3 linked regions of the Oryza sativa Japonica Group genome follow. The main gene of each other region encodes a partner of the protein of the gene in region 2 in a complex. Links are inferred from orthologs where the notes say so. Each region holds a gene or a part of one and is shown on either strand. Other genes may lie near its edges.

Evidence for each region.
Region 1: sister chromatid cohesion 1 protein 2 (region 2) and sister chromatid cohesion 1 protein 3 share a complex: the UniProt entries of both Arabidopsis thaliana proteins name them as parts of the cohesin complex. The link is inferred for Oryza sativa Japonica Group from reciprocal best matches to the Arabidopsis thaliana genes SYN2 and SYN3.
Region 3: sister chromatid cohesion 1 protein 2 (region 2) and sister chromatid cohesion 1 protein 1 share a complex: the UniProt entries of both Arabidopsis thaliana proteins name them as parts of the cohesin complex. The link is inferred for Oryza sativa Japonica Group from reciprocal best matches to the Arabidopsis thaliana genes SYN2 and SYN1.

What each region holds. Positions count from the first base shown.
Region 1 is NC_089042.1:10,215,890-10,220,253, reverse strand, and holds the start of sister chromatid cohesion 1 protein 3, read right to left. Parts: upstream 2,857-4,364; 5' UTR 2,687-2,856; coding exon 2,563-2,686; intron 1,211-2,562; coding exon 949-1,210; intron 872-948; coding exon 825-871; intron 744-824; coding exon 712-743; intron 632-711; coding exon 564-631; intron 497-563; coding exon 105-496; intron 1-104. UniProt on the Arabidopsis thaliana protein: May be involved in sister chromatid cohesion during mitosis.
Region 2 is NC_089038.1:24,879,467-24,883,704, reverse strand, and holds the end of sister chromatid cohesion 1 protein 2, read right to left. Parts: intron 4,175-4,238; coding exon 4,110-4,174; intron 4,032-4,109; coding exon 3,909-4,031; intron 3,821-3,908; coding exon 3,683-3,820; intron 3,560-3,682; coding exon 3,318-3,559; intron 3,230-3,317; coding exon 3,043-3,229; intron 2,472-3,042; coding exon 2,335-2,471; intron 2,254-2,334; coding exon 1,841-2,253; intron 1,704-1,840; coding exon 1,667-1,703; intron 1,575-1,666; coding exon 1,550-1,574; intron 1,463-1,549; coding exon 1,330-1,462; intron 977-1,329; coding exon 863-976; 3' UTR 579-862; downstream 1-578. UniProt on the Arabidopsis thaliana protein: May be involved in sister chromatid cohesion during mitosis.
Region 3 is NC_089039.1:29,073,708-29,077,936, reverse strand, and holds the start of sister chromatid cohesion 1 protein 1, read right to left. Parts: upstream 2,922-4,229; 5' UTR 2,787-2,921; coding exon 2,734-2,786; intron 2,544-2,733; coding exon 2,475-2,543; intron 2,377-2,474; coding exon 2,318-2,376; intron 2,223-2,317; coding exon 2,178-2,222; intron 2,092-2,177; coding exon 2,072-2,091; intron 1,964-2,071; coding exon 1,887-1,963; intron 690-1,886; coding exon 593-689; intron 436-592; coding exon 354-435; intron 275-353; coding exon 196-274; intron 87-195; coding exon 1-86. UniProt on the Arabidopsis thaliana protein: Involved in chromosome condensation, pairing and segregation during meiosis. Responsible for cohesion between replicated sister chromatids.

The sequences.
Region 1 (4,364 bases), on a different chromosome or scaffold from region 2:
GGTGGAATTGCAATGTAGTCTTATTTCTATTAGGTCTTATGAAAAAATGAAGGCAGAAAACAAAACTGGAAAGAACAAGATGAGTCAACAAGCAAAATACTAACCAATATCCATTGGTATAACATCTTCTATATTGTCATATGTGGTGCTTGTACTTCCTCGTGCATTGGGAATGGATGTCCCAGATAATCCACCTTGACCAGGGGATATAGTTCGTTCCAGTGCCGGAGGGGTGATATTCTTGGACACAAATGGTGAAGATTCCTCAGTCACATCCATGGGATCATTGTTTACCTCATCAATATCTGGCAAGTTAAGTTCAGGGCCCTCAAATGGTGCTTCACGCATTATTTCAGGTAAATCTGGTGCTTTATCTGCCTGATTTATGTTACTGGTGTTCACTGCCTCCGAGTTGTTGCCTTGGGAAGGATCTACGGAAATTTCCTCATCCATATTGTCACTTGGCCCAAAATCGATGTGAAATGGAGGCAATCTCCTGATAAGCAAAGCGGACATGAGTCCACCAAAATAGAAATTAGAAGGAAAAAAAACATGACACGTACTCTTCGTCAGTTGGTTCAGGTCCCATGTGTGAAGATTGTCCAGGAGCTGATAGCTCTACTCTAGCATCCTACACAATTTATAAGCACAAATATTAAAAAACATGCAAACTAAACAAGCCTGCAAAAAGCGCAAGTCAGTGAGGAATACCTCATCAAGATCAATCATCAGATAGTCTCCTTCTGCAGCACCAAAATGAAATCATTAAGCATCCGCATTGGAATGATAATAATACATATATTGACTAATTGAACTTCGTATACCAGCCAGGGTGATCTGGTCCAGACTCTTCCGATGATTATCTGGCGTACTGTCAGAAAGTTAACACAATAATATTAGTTGAGGTTGTATGACGCGGAGAAAATATATGAGAAGAAAAGTACTCACTCTATCAGACGAATTGCATCATCTAGGTTTATGTCATCAAGACGGAATGTATCAGGCAATGTGATGGTGTCAAAAGGCGCATGATCCGCATGAAGGGGCAGATCTACTTGTACAGAAGCGAAGGCGGTTCTGATTGTGCTTAGCATCCGGTTACAGTCATGGAAGAGGTAGTTTACCTTCCATGAATAAATGCGAACTAGACCTAGAAGAAGATGCCCTGACAACCTCAGAGCAATTGGAACTTCAGGGAACATGATAAATTCTGAAAAAATAAAACTCATGCATTAGAAGACATGGCATTAGGTTGCAGAGTAAAGCATAGGGAAAATTCAATGTATATGAGAAAATTGTTCAATACTTAACTAAGGAAAATATGTAACCTATTTTTCTCAAAAATGCGGGAGGACTGAACTTCATTTCTTTAAGAAGAAAATAGATAGAAAAAGAGGAGGTTAAACTGACAAACACACCCAAGAACACGCTCACGTGCACAACACCTAAGGGCGACACATGACCTCACTAAGCAAACACAAACTAATTGCCAAGGGTAAGCGACCTGCAGAAAAATGTGACCTATTCAGCATGCCATTATAATACAAGTTCTTGCAAAGCACAGTTCGAAGTTGAAATAAAAAAAATTGTCACACTTTCCTCCCAAAGAGAATAAAAAAAACTTCCCATAGAGTATAGACATCTATGCCCAAATATGCAATATTAATCCAGTTGTTTTACTTCCAGTCAAAAAACATGTTTTGTTCTAATAAAATTCCATCAGTAAGCTTCCTAAACATAAGGCTTATCTACTTTGTTCTTGAGTTTGCAAGGTTAAATATGTAAAGTTAATCACAGAATAAAGTAAAAACTGTTACATAATGTACTAAAAGAACAATGCAAGCACAACAAGCCAGTTTATTTGTCAATGTTCTATGATTTGACTGGATAACATATAAACTTATTTGTGTAATTCATATAAGTAGAACAAACATATATGAATTACTCTTCAAATAGAGTGGCTCAAGTAGGCAGTGTTCCACCGCAAGTGATTATACTGTACTGGGAGGTAAAAAATTGGGTTTGGTCGTTCTTTTTTTTTTCTTCCTTCTGGATATGCAAATGCTGTCATTCTTGAAATGTTTAGCATCCAAATAGGGCCTGCAAAAATCCACCCAAAAGTCTCCGGTGCACACCCCACCACAACCTCCCATAACTAAAAGACCAAATTTTGTTGTATCTTTTGTCATTAATGAATAATCATGCCACTAGAACAATCATTTACACGAAATTCTAACTGATAACCAGATAAATACTGCGAACCCCTAGCAAAATGCTCTAAAAAAAACTATCCAAACCTTCTTCCTTCCTGTCCCAAATTGCAGAATGCAGATTGGGATCCAAATCTCTGTACCATCACTTGACCCCATTGCTAACCCCAAAACATTTTTCACTCACAACTCCGGAACAAATCCCAGTTGCACGGAGGAACCAAAAAAAAAAAAAAGCTTATCCTTTCTACCCCCGCCGCCGCTGAAAGGCGCCGCCTTTCTACCCGCGCAGCAACAACAAAGGGGAAAAGAAAGAGCGCGTCTTTGGGAGAGAGGGGAGGGGAGGGCTTACCGGCGTAGGAGGGGATGTCGATGCCGTCGATCTGCGGCTTCTTGATCTTGCGCTCGAGGTGGGCGGCGATCCACACCGTGCCCAGTGGGCTCTTCCGCGCAAGGATCGTGTGCGAGTAGAACATCGCGGCGGCGTCGGCTGCCTCCTCCCTCCTCCGTCTCCTCGGGGTTGCTCCTGCGGCGGCGGCGGTGGCGGTGGTGGTGGCGGCGCACGGAGAGGGAGGGGAGGGGGATGAGATGAGATGAGATTTGGGGGGGGAAAAATAGAAGTTTTGGATGAGAAGGAGTTTTTGGGAAGGGGAGTGAAGCGGGAAGCCGCTTCGTATGTGGAGTCTTTTGGCGCGCGGATTTCGGGAGCAGCGGGCGGGGTGGTAGGGTGGCTGACAGGTGGGCCCTAGCAGGTGGTTGGTTTTGGAATGTGGGGGAGTTATTTTCGTGGATGTTTTGCTTGTAGAATACTAGAATTTGAGGCTTTTACATGCCGAACGAATTTGCTGCGGTTGTTTCCCCCCATTTTACCGCTGTGGCGTGCATCAAATTACCCTTTCTAGCTATCCCCGCAAAAGAGAAAAGGAAAAGTCTATACATACTACTCCCTCCATTTCACAATGTAAGACTTTCTAGCATTGCTCACATACATATAAATGTTAATGAATCTAAACACATATGTCTAGATCCATTAACATCTAAATGAATGTGGGTAATGCTAGAAAGCCTTACATTGTGAAACGGATGAAGTAAATTTTATCTTACTAACAGTCTAACACTATGTCTCATGCTGTGAGTATATCTAGAATTTCTATAACTTCCATCTATTTAAATTAGATGGTTGATATTATTGTTTGAGCAGCATTGCTGTAGAGAAAATTACTCTTTCTATTTTCTAATAAACTAGTACTATGATGATTTCGTTCGCCGGATCACACATAGTTCGATGTTTGATGACCGTTCATTTTGTTTTTGGACATTATAATTTATTATCCACACGGGATTTTAGTTTTTACCATTTTTCCCTAAAAAAATTAGTTAATCTCACCTCTAACGCCTAATGTCTTGTGCCTTTATATCTTTGTAGATCTAATAGCGTAGAAAAATCTTACCTGAACAGCAATAGAAGAGGAAAAATAAAAGCATGAGTCTTCATTCACAGTGAAACAAGATGCAATTTGTACCCTTCCGTCCAAAAGTCTTAAACATATTTTTCCTAACGAGATGTGCATATCTATAGCCTCCATGTAACCTAGATTTAAATGAAGATGTTGTCTTATTATTTTGTTCCAAAAGTTTTAAGCATATTTTTTTCTAATGAGATGTGCATATTTATAGCCTTCATGTATCCTAGACTTAAATAAAGATGTTGTCTTATTATTTTGTAGTGCTGAATTATTGGAACTCAAGCAATTATCTTAATACTCATTGGTTATATGCATACATAGGAGTAATCCTTAGTGTTTGTTATATGCAAGATGAGTTAATTTTTCATTAATCCCATTTAAAAAGTAATATGCCCTTAGGCTTTTGGATTGAGAGAGTACAAGTGAGATTGATTAGTTGCTCATAGGTTAGATTGATTTTTTTAAGGAAAAAAAAGGAGAAATTCGGTGTACATCCCATAGAGCTTCACCAACTTATGCCCAATATAGCTTCTAATGCCTAAATTTTATGTTTTTCATAAGAAAAAAAATTGACTTCTACAGTTCCCTAATTAACTTCCCATGAAATATCTTTTCAGTCCTAGTCGCTCTCCACTAGTAGGGGAGGGTGTCGGCTTCCAATAGCACGTGCAAAATGTGGAGAGAACAA
Region 2 (4,238 bases):
CTATATGCATTTTCCGTGCATGCCTTTGCTGTACAAAGAACTGTGGAGCACCGAGCACGGCTCAGCTGCTCCGCTCTTGGATCACCTAGATTCATCTATACCTCAACTGTGAATTCAGCTAATCCTGAATTTGTTGATTCAGCTAAAACTGGACATTCAGCAGTATGTAGATTCAACCGCTCTTCGACAAATAGAATTGCATCTACTTAACAAATAAAAAGAAAGAAGAATTAAAAAAAATCAAGAAAAGCATAAGCTTCTCAAGTTCACAATGGAACAGCGAGAAGCTCGAAGAACGACGGCGACTGTGTGGGACTCATCAGCTCCTTCAAGAGGCTTTGCTACTGCTTTGACTACAGTATCTTTTTTTTAAGATAATGAAAGCTTTATTAAGACTTAGTTAAATACACCAAAATGATACATTCCAACTGAGCCCAACTACAGTACCTTCAAATCACCATGGCTCGCTGTTCCCATCATAGCTTCCAAACTGTTCCCAGCTGCATCATTTCCAGATTAGACAACATCCTGGCAAACTCACATATACAACTGAACCAAACACGCACGATCAAAAACTCTGAAAAGAACACGGGATCTAACACTGATAGGAAACTGCAATTTACAACTGTTAAAGTTATTATAAATAACTAAGCTATCCATCTAAAGGGGAAAAAAAAGGGGGAAACAACTAACATCTCTACATGTTCCTAACCATCTAGCGCTACATGCGCCCAACTAAGTATATACATCTGACTGACCATCATAAACATGCTACAGAAGATAAAACAAGGTGAAACGCTCCTGGGAAGCTGGGATCTCTTTTTCCCGAAAACTACCAATGAACATGTTGCGTCAAATTAAGTCATTGCTTCTCACTACTCCGCAATGCCGCCTCGAGCCGCGGAGTCGCTGAGACTATGATGTCCCCATAAGTCTGCTCTTGATTGACTTCTATGAGACTACCACTCTTCAGGATCTGCAGAAGAGAGCAAACGACGATATAAACAATACAAATTGCTGTAAGGATCATAGGGCCTCTGTTATACTTATAGGAGTTGAAAATATGAAACAAACAAACAACTTTTGAGTTTTGATAAACAGAACGGAAATGGAACCAAAGAAGTGCTTGCATATTTCCCAAGTAAAGCACATGAATTGCACTAAAAAATGCACATATTAATTTTATCACAAGGAAGATTGTTCTTGCGTAGAACTGAAATAGATCAGTAATACACAAGATGGGATCCTCAAGACCAGTCATTCTCCAGTGAAAAAGCAACTAAAACTCATGCAGATACTGTGTCCAAGAAATAAGTACAGAAAATGTACCAGAGTTTCATAGAAGAATCTTGCTGAAGTTTTTCTTTTCGTTCCTTCGAGTGCTTGACCAAGGCATACAGAATTGTTCCGTTGTTGGCACTTCTGGTCCACGAGTAGTTGATGGAAGTACCTTGCTACAGTCCTGAATTAGTGCATTTAGAGAATGTTATAGGTTAACGACAACATGAAGAAAAGAAATGAAAAGAAACAGGACAAGTTCATTAGCCACCTTGTTCTTGTTGAACGCAGCAAACCTGTGCAAAATAACAATGTCAGTAGAACTTGGCAAAAACAAAGATCTAATGTACAGGAAAAATAAAAACTAGTATAGGGTGTAAAAGAGTACCTTCATCTCTAGCATGTTGTTCATCCATATGAGTATCCTGCCAGATGCAATTTTCAAATGATTCATTTGCATAAAATATACATTAACAAATGAATTGTTTGCATGGCATTTTGCACACAAAACCAGATATTTTCAAAAGAATTTTATAAAAGAGTTTAATGTAGACAGTGTTACCTCTTCCATACTATCTATATCAGCATCCAATGCCTCGTCGAGCTGTGGATTTTTACTTTTCAATGCATTCAATCTTTCTTGCAGTTCTGTTGAATGAGATTCATGTCCTCCAATTGAGAAATCCTTTTCTTTGACTGTATCGTCATTAAATCTATAGTCTTCATCATTGTGATACTGTGCACTTTCAGTGTAACACCCAACAGTTGCCTGTACACTATCTGTCAATTCATCCAATTTTCTCTTTCTTGGTTCATCTGGAATGCTTTCACCTTCTACATTTTTAGCATCATCGCAGATATTGTTGGATTCAGAAAGCTCCAACGAAAGTCGCCTTCTTGATTTTACTGACTCCCTGCACGAATTTTCTGGTGTATCTGCTGTAATAGTGTGTCTAACGTACACCGAAGTTGGATCTGTGAAAATAAAATGGCCCCTCTTTAGTTAATTATGGAGGTTTCCATCACTAATTGCACCTAGTATAGATGAAGACTTACACAAAATCAATGGATCCATGAAAGTAACTGGCAGAGAACGAATTTTGCCCTCCTTCCAGGTATAAAGACAAGTATGAGGTGCCTTCCTTCTCTGCTGCACTAGATCACTTGCATCCTCTATTGTGTTTCTCAATGTTCTACATTAAGGAGGAAAAAAATCCAAAGCATTAGCAATTAAAAATAGAGAAGTACCACATATTGAAAAATTAATGTTCCAACTTATACTACATGATCATTGATCACATAAAAAATAGTATGGCACTGCAGCCTACCACCTAACCCAAGCCCCCAAACAAAAATAAAGTGCGGGAACAAGAGGCTAGCACCCCAGCCATGATCGCTGGTTCCCACTGCAAACAGGTAGAACCAATGAGAGCACATGTTTTAAGGATTTGAATCCCAGTGGACAACACAAACATCCTCAGGGCCAGCCAACCAAGCATCTTGGTTCTCAGCTTATAATTCTTTATGAGGCTATAGGCTTCATAACTTACAGTACCTTGCCTTGAGCCTTAAATATCTTAGCAAAAAAAAAAAAGGAAGAAGAAGAAGCTGAGAACTTAGATTCATCAAAGAATCCCAAATCCCTGCTTAAGCTGATAAGATGAGCCTAAGTTTGCCAAACCAGCTCCTAGGATACCTAAAAGATCAAACAGGAATAGGTAGTGCAACAGATGGAAGAGCTTCTAAGCTAGAAGCTCTACTTACTCATTTGGTAGAACAATATTTTCATCATACAATACCCATGTTCCTCTTCTTCTAACCTTCCGTTTGTCTCCTCTATCTGTTGGTATATAATCTTTATTGTATAATCCCCTTCTTCGTTTTCTAGTCACCCGGTGCTTCTCCTTTTTAGCTGGTGTAGTAACCATAAATTTAGGAGAGCAGGGTAGCCCTGAATAAATCAGTGAAACCCACACATCACAAATTAAGCATAATAATGACCACAAATAGAAGAGGAATTTTTATCACAAAAATTAAACCTGTGCCACCCTCTGTCATGGGCTCCGGAGTGGAAGGTGACAGCTCATTGATTAGCTTTGTCTTACAGCGCAAAGTTGGTTGTTCAAGAGACCCGGGTTCCTCAAAACCATCACATGATGGATTTGTGTTAGTTCCATGCAGTGACCCATTTTCTGATTCTTCAATTGTGGGACAATTTGCATCACGACTTGGAAAAGTCACATTCTCCACAATATTTTCAGGTATTTGCACTTCCTTACTTCTGTACCAATAAATATGGTCAGCATCAATGCACTATTTTTTCACAAAAATGTTTAAGTAAAAAAAAATTGATGTGACATTAAAATCATAATATGGTAAAACCACAAAAGTAACATTTACTTACCCTGACAAAGGGATGTGGCAAGCAGAATTCCCATTCTCATCCCTATTCAATTCTCTTTGAGGTTTTTTCCCCCTTGTGCTTTTATCTGAAGGATCATTTACTTCAGCCATCATATCCACCATCTCAGGTGGAAGAATACTGTTCCAGAAAAAAAAAAAAGGTCATCGGCAACAGAGGAAAAGTATGCGCACTGTAAAGAGAGAAATGTGACACCATATATACTTACTCCTTCACTGGTGTAAAGCAAGCAGATTCAGCATTGTGATTTTCAGGTTCACCCCCAATGCTACTCAAGCATAGTAGACTGTTGACTTCACTAATGACACTCATCATTTCAGTTGGGATAGTGCTGCATTGAAGCTTCATTCAGAAATTCGGTACAGATAATCTTTTTTAGCATCATTGAGACAGTAATCTCTATACTTACACGCGTACTGGCATAATGCAGGCAGAGTCTAGATCAGCGTATGAGCATGTCATCATCTTATAAGACTGTTCATTGGACCAAAATAAGGCTTTAGTTTCCCAAACAGATAATATACGAAACAAAAGGAAG
Region 3 (4,229 bases), on a different chromosome or scaffold from region 2:
GTGGAGAAGGAACCAGATTACTTGGAACCTGTGGGTGTCCATCAGGAGTGACATTGAAAGTTGCATCATCATCTGTTATGTCGAATCTGGTGACATTGTAACATTGCTCAATGAATAATTGTACTGGCCAAAATAAGGAACAAGAAGTGCAAAAAATGAATGGTAGAATAAGAGAAGAATAAAATTTTGCTTCACCTCTCAAAACGATTGAACACATCAGTCTCTCCAAGCCCAGACCCGAAATTATCAGCCAGGGTGATATTTTCTGCATCAGCTGAGATAACATATTTCAGTCAGAAAGTACACCTCTTAAGCAACCACAAAGAGTAATTCATAAGAAAAGAAATGAAAACCTTGGTGATGATTCTCAGCGCGCGAGAAGTCATCATCGTCTAGGTTGACATTAATGTATTGGTCATCCAAATCCTCCAAACGCTGCACATGCATGACGGATTTCAGAGGAATAGAGACAATCTGGCAAAAGTCAGGAGACTGAAAGCAAGACTATCTCGTGGTTATTGCTCATAACTTAATGCCATCTTTCAATGCATACAATCAGACACCACCGAAATATACATATTACAGGGATTACCATTCCCCGGAACCTTGTAGTATCAGCCTCTGAGAAAAGCATGGGCTGCTCCACATCCATATCCATGATATTCTCTGGCAGTGTTACTGCTTCATACCTGCATGAAGCCCCAAGTTTAGATGAGCAAACCATTACTGTTTTACTCTTGGTACAAAATATCATTCTCCATCCACCAACTTATACCCACTCTATGCTATTTACAAAAGTAAGTTGAAAAGACCCTTGGGATACAATCATTCAGAGGAACTATCCAGGACTCCAAGAGGGTTAAACTCATTGCAACAGTACAGGTATCAACATCACGTGAACATTGCAGTAACTATCGAACATAGTTCCGAAGGGATCAAGGGGATGATGGCACAGCCACATGGTTACATATCAGATGCAGGCCACAATGGAAGGAAATGGTACACCCACAAGAGTCAGTCCTTCGAGCATGATACAAGATTAAGAAATGTTTGCCTCCGGTTCCCAAAGGTGATGGAATTCCCTAGACTCTAAGATAGCAACATTTCTCAAGTACCAGACGGCCCTCAGACCTGCTCCCTTGGCACCAGTAACTGACACCCAAGAAAAAGTCAAATGTTCATCCCCATAAAGCATGTATCGCTCACTGACAATGCCTGCCTAACTGCCTAATGCCCTTCCAGTTTTTTTTTCTTGAATATGCAAGAGAGTTGTATATCATTTCATTAAGAGAGGAGGAAACACTGTGGGGAAGCAAAAGCCCTTCATCACCCTACAAATGTAGAGGACCTACATATACTGGAACAACATACAGACAAATTTATGCTGCCAGGAAACACAGATCATTTGTAGAATAGTACTCCTGCATAATACAGACATCGGCTGCTACCAAAGTCAGCAAGACAACAAGAGGCAAGTAACAGCAGGGTCCCATGAACCGCCAATAGACAACAGGTAGAACAGAACAATCAGTCATATGACAACATCAGGTACATCTGAAAACATAACAATGTACTATGCTGCAAGGAGATAGTATCATCATAAAATCAACATTACACAGATGCAGCATGTTCTAATCAGAACCAAGTAAGCTGATGACATATCAAAACTTGCAACTGTGTCAAATGACGAGTCCATCAGATTAGCATCGGATGGTGAAAATCACACACAAACTCACAATCCCTGGCAGCAGGGAAACAAAAGCAAACTCCCCTCGGTCACCAACATAATAGCATGTTCTTCAATCTTCCCTCGAACCCAAAACCGTGCACAGAACATCTAGAAACTTCTAGTCCTAGAAGGTCATGGAAACAAAGAGGGCACTTACTTGGCTTGGGTTTTGCCCTTGGGAAGTACGGTGGGGTCTGCGACTGGCTTGACCCGCCATGCCTCGTTGATCTCAATCTGTGTGAGGAGTTAGTACAAGCGTAATCTGAACCATGTTAGCATAGACAGGCAAATGGATCAAGGAGGAGGCACCAAAATTAGGTGAAAATCGAACTCGAATTTTACCAGAAACCGAGACACATCATCTGCGAAGAAGATCTCACACAGTTTGAGTCTATAACGAATCCAAAAAAAATGGAAACAAAAGAGAAGCAATCAGGGAGCAACTCACCATACAGAGCCTTCACCTTCCTCTCGTACACGATCGCCACACCACCTACTCACACTCCCACGACGCAAGCACCCACATCAGAAAATATCACCAAACAAATGCGATCGGAACTATGGAGACAACAAGCAAACTGGACTCACCCATGAGAATTCCGGAGAGCCTTAGTGCCATGGGTACCGACGGGTTCAAAATCTCCTCACTAACCCAAAAACCACACGCACAAAATCCCCCCAAAAAAAACCGTCAAGTTCGAAACGAAGAAATCAGAGACAACTGGATTCGGACTAATTCGCTCACCAGATTTTGATGATGTCGAGCTTGTCAAGCCGCTTCCGGTTGATCTTCGAGTGAAGCGTCGCCGCCATCCTGCGAAAAAAAAAAGCGGAGTAATCAGCGGCCTAATCAACTCCAACCAAGTGGCGAACATTCGGATTTCGGAGCGGAACGAGCAGAGAAATCGCAGAAAACAATATAGAACGGAGCACCGCAGAACGGCGCATGAGAAGAGAAGCCGAAAGGACGCGATCGAGAGGAGCGGAGAGCGAAGCAAACCCACCATATCTGGCCGAGCGGAGCCTTCCGCGCGAGGAGCTGGTGCGAGTAGAACATTCTCGATCGTGAGGAGGGAGGGAATGGATGAGCGAGTGAGAGTGGAGGCGCTGCGCCGCTGCGGCGGCGGAGAGAGCAGGTGAGAGGTGGAGTGGGGTTTTTGCGATGGTTGCGTGGGGTGGGAGTTCAGACCTCGGAGAGAGGAAGAAGGGAGGGAGGTTTGTGGGGGAAGAAAGACATCAGGGGGGCAGATCGGTGAAATGTTTTGCGCGTAAAGGGTAGTCTCGGTAATCCACCGCGCCGGAGCCACTCATGGGCCAAGGCCTTCCGGGGCCAAAATAATTTTTCACTATTGTCTCCCCGAATAAGTCCATTAACCGTACCCCGTCTTCACTCGAGTTTAATTGGCATTCCTAAAACACAATACCAAAATCCTTTTACCCTTCATCCTGTCAAAACCGTCCAAATCAAATACCATGATAGTATGAAAGACTTGTTTCGCTCACGTGACATCCTAGTCAGCAAGAAATATTAAAAAAACATGAGGAGTCCACATGTAAGTGAGAAGAAAAATATGTGAGCCCACATATCAGTGCTCACTTCTTTCTCTTCTCTTTTTCCCCAAGGAATAAGTTCACTTTGGGTCCCTCTATTTGTCGCCTAATCCGATTTTTGTCCCTTGACCGCAAAACCGGATATGACCTGTCCCTCAACTTACGAAAACCGGGCAAACGAGGTCGCTCGGCGGTTTTGATAGCGGTTTTGGCTGACGTGGCGCCTACGTGGCTAATTTAACTCGGTCTTCATCTGACATGGCACTGACGTGGCGCTTACGTGGCAATTCGATTCGGAAAAATAATAAAGTCTGTGGGACCCATATGTCATTTTCACACATAAAATAATTATAAAAAATAGTGGAACCCACGTGGACCCCACGTGTCATACTCACCTCCTCATCTTCTTCCTCCCTCTCCATCTCCCCTCTCTCCATCTCTCTCCTCTCCTCTCCAGCCTCTAGGCACCATGGCTCACGGGGTCACGGGGAGGTCCGGCGGTGGCGGCCGGCAACGCCACAGCCGCCGGCAGCGGCGAGCTCCACCTCTCGGCGCAGCCGTGCAGCCGCGCGCGTTTCTGACCCCACGCGCGCGTGGCTGTTTGACGGCGTGGGCGGCACGGATGGATTCATGGATCTAATCCCGCGCCAGCACGTAGCCCCCCTCCCCCCCCCCCCCCCCCGCGACGCGACGGCGACAGCTGGCGATGTTGCTCTCACGCCTCAGCTCGCTGGGGTTTTGAGTTTTGACAACCGGAATGAACTTTGTTCCAATGCAGTTCTTGCTAATAATGCCTTTACCTACTCACCTCTCGTCAGTAACCGGTAATTGCTAATTGCTCACAGATCATCACTTAGCTGCGGATGGCCATCATTAATTCTCAGTGTAGCACTATGTTTTTCGCAAGTCGCAATGCAACAGTGTATGAACTCTCGAAGCCTGTAAATTA